2 linked regions of the Nothobranchius furzeri genome follow. The protein of the gene in region 2 purifies or fractionates together with the protein of the main gene of each other region. This does not show direct contact. Links are inferred from orthologs where the notes say so. Each region holds a gene or a part of one and is shown on either strand. Other genes may lie near its edges.

Region 1 (3,142 bases), on a different chromosome or scaffold from region 2:
TTTCACTAATAGCAGCAGAGGGCCCTTGTTTCCATGGTGATCGGGAGCCCCTCCAGTCAGTGCATCAACTGGAAGTGAGGAAAGGTCAAACACAGAAGGCCTGACAACTCAGCCGCTGTCTGACACATTTCAGCTAGCTATGTTTGTATTACAGCACTTAGCTCTGTAATAGCAGGGTGGGGAGGGTCAGGAGACGTGGGGGGGGGGCTTTGGATGGGCCGTGGCAGCCCATTTCTGCTTCACTAAACATTCTAATAATGTTCACATCAGCGATCGGAGCTTGGGTCTATCCGACTGGATGTGAGGTTTGTGAACGCAGAAAGATCAGCAAAGAAAACACAAACGCCGCACACAACGCACGTTCAAGCGACACGAGACAGGAACCGAGCTCAACTGCTGTTTAAAATGTTCACAACAGAGGCAGCGATGGTAGTGGAGTACCAGAGGGCCGCAACGGGCTTCCAGCCTTTAAACCACTTGTGCGAAACATCCATCTTGCTCCTAGCACGCAGCTTTTTGTGTCGCTGTTGCAGAAAATCAGCTTTGTGTCAAACTTGTAAATCCCATCACTAAGTTTGGCCTTCCAGTTTCTCCGGTTGTGATGCAGCACCGCCCTCTGCTGGACGAGCGCCGGCATCGAACAATTAAGACAATTGTGCAGTGAAAGTGGACGGGACGCCACACTCACGCTTCATCCTGTGATCGACAAGTTTTTGGGCTTGCTTGGCGGCACACTTAGCGAACCAGTTGTCACCCAGCAGCACCGTGACCTCGTTGGTGTGCACCAGCTTCCCGGGCATGAAGGCCAGAGGGCCAAATGGCACCTGCAGAAACAAAAGAGCAGAAAAAAATGGGTCAACGGAAGCAGGTGGGAGAGAGCGGACGTAAAAAAGTTTAAATTTCCAGTTTTTTGGGTCAGTTCGTGCGATTTTAAAGCAGGTCAACGCACCATGATGTCATAAGAGAGTTGATCTGGGAGAGTTTGGAGGCGATCACTCAGAGCCTCGTAGTCACCAGACACCTTCTTCCTGCAAGTCACATAAACCTTTTCACTGTTGGAATTAACCAGCCTCTCCTTACGCTCCATAATTCAGCTGGTTGGGTTAAAATAAGTGAAGAAAAGTCGAAAGTGACACATTTCCTGTTTAATAGCAGAGGAAGAAACTGGTGCAACCTCAAAAGACCATGTTTAATTATTTGATTATAAGAATTTATATGGAGAGTGAATGAAGACACGGATGATGGAAAGGCCCAATAAAATCCCCTTTTGTTAATTGTTGTTTTTTCTACTCAAATGAAATCTGGCAAATGTTGGGAATGATTAAAACAGCTAATTTGACCATTTTTAAATGCACATTGTTACCACTAGGGGGTGATAGTTGTTTTATTAGGGTCTTTTAATGTTTTATTTAATTTAATTCAAATGGATTAAGTAAAATACAATAAAACAAAATACAAACATAAACATTAATATCATACAATTTAAATGAACTGGGGGCAGAAGGAAGAATAATTTTACATTTTCTGCCCCGATTTACAAATAACTAAATTATTAATGCATGTGAACTCGAACAGATTCATCTTTATTCCTGTTTAGACTTAAACAAACACAAACCTTAAATAGCATCTTCATAATTCCTTGACTTGATACATGTTTAAATGTTTAATGAATTTGATTCTTTTATGTCATTTTTTAAATACTTTTTAAATATCAACCTATAACTACCGACTCTCTTTTAGTGCCACACTAAAGAAACATGTACGGACTTGAATAAACCTTAGAAGTTAAATAAATCTAAAATTTTTGCAGGGAAGCAGAAACTGGAGTCTAAATGGGTTTGTACTAGGGCTGGGCAATAAATCGAAAATGTGTTGTTATTTAAATTTCTGACACTTATGTTGTTGTTTTGTTTTTCCCGTGTCAACACATCTGATAATAAAAAAGATAATATGTGTGCAGGTTGGCAACATTCATGCCCCTTTTAAGAAGACGTACCACCTTAAGTCACATATGTAATACAGCTCCACCTAGTGGACAACGTCTGTTTCAGAGCATATGTGTAGTTCCTGTCATCCAGGTGAAAACAGTGGTGGCTCCGGAATTTTTTTTCTGCAGGTGTTATGAAGGAGCTAGTCTTTTTATTGAGGGTGCTATGAAGGAAGTGGTCATGCGTACCTATTGTTCTCTAAAACACCTTCAACACTAGCAGATACACATGCATGCACAAAACCTCAACAACACCTGAAACAATCATTAATATACTTCATAAACATATGAACAATCACTAACTTTTCCATGAAATCATAAACGCATACAGCCACACAGAAAACAATCTTTAGTGTTGCAAGGTTAGCTAACGTTAGCGTTAGCATTTCCAGCGACAAAACCCTCGACTGCTGCGGCGGTTGAGGGTTGACTCTCTTCATCCAGACCCGTAGGTTTTTGTGGGTCTGAGATCACTTCCAAAGATTCATTCGTTTCTGACTGAACCCGTGGAAACGTGGGCAACAAAAACCGATCCATTTTACCACTAGCTCTACCTTTCACTCATTTGCAGGGGGAAAATGAGGTCAAAGGTTAACACCAATTTCCTGTTTTGGTTTAAGTTTTTACTATCTATATGGTAATTTACTGATTATTTTTGTTTTGTATGTTAAATATTATCACATCCACACGTTAAATTAAAATTAAATTGTAAAGAATAAAATCTAATATTTACTTGGGGGTGCAATGACTAATCCAGGGGTAGCTATAGCGCCCCCTTGGCGTCGCCACTCGGTGAAATCCTAGGTAAATCGGGGTAATGATTTTAGGCCGTATCGCCCAGCCCTAGTTAGTGCAAAGAGGCTTTATTCTTCATCAGGAGGGATCACTTGTGTGGCTCTGCTGGTCTAGATTAGCCTGGCAAGCCAGACTAAATAAATGTATTATTTGCAAAGCAAGAATTTGGTCTAGTTCACTAGGCCAGGTCTAGATGGTTTGGATCTGAGATTTATCGAAAATAAATCTTTAATGCAAACAGAACTGCTTTTTAACTGACTACCATCATTTAATACTTGAAGCTGCAAATCAGCTCAGCCTGCTCATGAAACGTGAGCCGCCATCCGACCTGAAACAACAACTGCAGGCCCCTGCTGTGTG
Region 2 (3,872 bases):
ATGCATCATTTAACACCATTTTTGCGCGCGCTGCCTCAGACGATAAAAAAAACCTTGGCGACGACAAACACAACTCTGCTGCACTCTCCTCGTGTTTGCTGGCCATTAATCTTTGTGTGTCCTCGCCCCATTTAACAATAGCCCTCTTGGTTAGTCAATTATCATGAAGAGACCAACTGAACTCAATTAACCGCCGTGCGCGTTTGGAGCGCGCGTCTCCACGGCCTTTTACGCACGACTTTCAGACGCATGTTTGTCACGCGGGACGAGCCGGCTTTTATTTTGATAGTCTGCGCAGCTTCGATAGACTATTTGCACTCAGATCTTCAAAAGCAATTATAGCACTTTCCAATGAATCTTAATGGCAGCACTCAACGGTGCAATAAAGTCCAGGTGAGCCATTTCTATGCAAAACACCCCCCTGCAATATGGCCTAATGGCCTTTATATTTGATCATTGTTGTAAAGAGGAAGGAAATTGTTAACCCAGGCTGTTCCATATGTGATTTATGAGGCGTGTTGCCCGTTAAGAAGGGAGGCAATCAGAATCAGACACTTTCGTCCCTGTAAAGTTGTAGAAATAATAAAAGACAGTGGAGTCAGAAAAAATGGAAAGATTTAATGGCCATCTGCCATCTCAAAGTGAGGACAATCACACAAAATCAACAGATTGTTCCTGAAACAAAATAAATGAAATGTTTTTTAGCTTTTTCATTGAGTAACAAACCAGTTTTTGACGGCATGTCAAAAAATGATAAAACATGCTTACTCTGTGGCGACAGCAGCGTGGCCTATGTAAACATCATGACACGTGATGAATAGTAATGGCGTTATAATAGAGATTAGGTCCCCCTCCTGTGACGAACACGGTTACACCTCATCATGAGTCACGAGAGAGACTGTTTGACCTCATTCTGTTGCATTTTATTGGGAAAAAAGAAAATAATCTACCAGTACGTCCAAAGAGACAAAACTCACTCTATTTCTCTGTAAAATGATATTTTAAATAAAGTTTTTCTCTTTTAAACACAAAGCAAACAGCAGCACCTCTCAGTCGGTTATGAGCTCCTGAGACTAAAAACAAAGCCGGTCCATTCATGAAGTCTGAATCCGTCTTTTTTTGTCTCTTTTCTGTCCATCGGCATGTTTCCGGTCTCTGTCGTCTTGGTGTCTGCTGCGTCTGTCCTTATCTCTGTCCGGCCTCTTATCTCGACTTGTGCGGCGGTCCATGTGAGGACGTTTATGATCCGAGGGGCCGCCAGTATTCCTGTGATCAGGCGGAGGCGTTCTGCTGCGGTCACGCTGTCTGTCCGGGGACTCGCTCCGAAGGCGTCCTCTTGTGGAGGAACATTTGGCTTGGGGTTCCTCTGTGCGCCGGTGCAGGCCCGTGGAGCGCAGGGTGTTGAGTAAGAAGCGTTTGTTGGTGCTCTGTAGAGGACACTTCAACCTGGAGAAAAATCCACAAACATCAGACACAGATCCAGAAAAATCCAGCAGTTGATGCCGAAAGAAGAAATTTAATTTCACAGATTCAATCAGACTTCAGCAACATGACTTTTGTGGGTGTTTTATCCCTTTAACTATAGAATAAAGAGGCTAAATAAGAAATTTTCACACATACGATTGAAATGCCCCAAAAAAACCTTTAATGTATATATATGATATAAGACCTCAAATTAAAATACCAACAGATAAGATAACTTTTAGTGCAAAACTAACATTTTTAGGAAGACACGTGGTGTGTTCAGATGGTTTAATGAGAACATGAGCAAAATAATCTAATATTTAAAATAATACTAGACACTAAGTAATTATCCAAAAAGAAAAAAGAAAAGAAAGAAAGCCAATCCACATGAGAGGGTCAGAGATATTTCAGAGCTCACCATCCTGCAGGACCCATGGTCTCTGCTCTCACCCGGGCTCTGTCAGTCTCCCTCAGGAGCTCCTCCACGGCGCGCCTAGACGGAACCGGACCCAGAACCAGGAGAATGAGTCATGAGACAAACAGGACAGAAATTCTGAGCAGATGTACAAGAAATATAAGATGAAAGTAAAGCGGACGTGTCCTTGTTTGACCCGAAATGAGTCTCATCACCAGATTGGACTCGCTACTTATGCCGACCTGAAACTACACACAACAGGCAGCTAGAGTCAACAAGTCAACTTTAAATACAGTAAACAACTCAGATCAGAACTACTAACAGACTGTTTTTCCGCAGCGTTACATTTTAGAGGGAAAATGTCTGCAAATGTGTTCAGACGGAAGTTAATAAAGATACATTTACTCACTTTTCTAGCTCATTTTCTTCCGCCATTGCGTCTTAATCACACAAAAACTCTTACAAATAAATAAAAACCTAATAAAACCTATAAATTTACGTTAATTTACGAGGCATTTCTTGTTCACTTCGCCGAGAGGTCCTTCAATCGCGGACCCTGTTTTTAGCTGCCCGGAGCAATGCCTGTTCAGTTGCAAAATCATGTTGAAAATAAGTTATGAAACCAAACTACATTTTTTATTTACAAGTAGATATGTTTGTGTATTATGTATTGATCTTTTTTAATTAAAATAATTGATATTTTTAAAAGTTCAATAAGTTATGGGGCACCCCTGGAAAAACATTTACAGCTGATTGTTTTAGCAACATTTGGCCACAAATAACTTTAAAACAAACATAGAATCAAACAAATATATAAACACACTTTGTTAAAAAAAAGGATTTATACTCAAATCGAAACGTAAAATGTGACATTTAAACTTGTACATTTTTTATTTGATTAAACATTTTCCATTGGGAACTAAGCCAACTTAATTCTTTGGTAAATTGTAAAAATAATTTAAATACATACAATGGCTTAATCAAAAGTAAAGTGATAGTTACAGAATATCATCAAGCAAGATATTTTAGTAATCTAGATTGTGATACATTAAAGGACAATAACAAACATTTTTATTTAGAAGTAATCTTCTTAAAGAAGACATATTATGCCTTTTGCATCCTTTTTGTGCCGCCATGTGCACTCTGCCTCTATAAACGCTCCAAACATGCCAATGTGTGGTTGTAGAAATGTTGTGCCTAAAACAAGCTATTTGAAATTGTCCCCAATTGTGACATCACAAGCAGGCCCAGTGCCAATACTCGCATTGCGCCCTGCAGTCTTCAGCAAAGTGCACTTGGAGAAAGTGTGCAGTAAGGCTTCGAGTGCGTGGACTACAACTGTGCAAATAATTGCTGAAGTGAGACAGGGAGCATTGCGTCATGAAACGCAACGCATGCCGAGATGCTGGTCCTGTGATACTTTTTCAAAAGCCTTTATTAACAACTTTTAAACAAACAACCCATTATTTGAAATAAATTTTAATTAATTGCTGCTTTGTCTAAAACATTCAGAGCATCAACTGATTGTCCCAAAACTAACTCATTCCATTAGAAAATATTCAGAAAAGGAACTTGAACCCTTTCTCCTGCAGCAATGACTTGTGGGTAATACACTTCACCCAGCACTGTAAGAATACTTTTGAGGCAGATAATTAAGTATATATTTGTTCTGTTTTTTTCTATTCTATTCTATTCTATTCTATTCTATTCTATTCTATTCTATTCTATTCTATTCTAATTTTTGTTCTGATCCTGTTTTTGAACAGGCGGTCGGTGTAAGCCACCTCTAAACTCAGCTCCGTAGACTCCTCCCATCACCTTTTGATTGGCAGCGGTGGGCGGGATCAGCGGCGCCAACGGTACGGGGGCGTTTTCTTGCGGGCTTGCGGAGCTCTCCGTCGGTTGCGGCGAATGCGTGATCGACGCCCCGCAGCTGATAATTGCTCCCCGCTTTGGGGCCCGAGTGGACGGCGCGGAGGAGCCGCCGGAAGAA

The links.
Region 1: the proteins of si:ch211-140b10.6 (region 2) and uri1 purify together in Homo sapiens (affinity purification with mass spectrometry; 4 studies listed by BioGRID and IntAct, with this or other methods). This does not show direct contact. The link is inferred for Nothobranchius furzeri from reciprocal best matches to the Homo sapiens genes POLR1D and URI1.

What each region holds. Positions count from the first base shown.
Region 1 is NC_091744.1:78,620,955-78,624,096, forward strand, and holds part of uri1 (unconventional prefoldin RPB5 interactor 1), read right to left. Parts: intron 1,029-3,142; coding exon 950-1,028; intron 825-949; coding exon 689-824; intron 1-688. UniProt on the Homo sapiens protein: Involved in gene transcription regulation. Acts as a transcriptional repressor in concert with the corepressor UXT to regulate androgen receptor (AR) transcription.
Region 2 is NC_091747.1:51,106,097-51,109,968, reverse strand, and holds si:ch211-140b10.6 (protein POLR1D), read right to left. Parts: upstream 2,460-3,872; 5' UTR 2,315-2,459; coding exon 2,289-2,314; intron 1,958-2,288; coding exon 1,883-1,957; intron 1,447-1,882; coding exon 1,095-1,446; 3' UTR 599-1,094; downstream 1-598.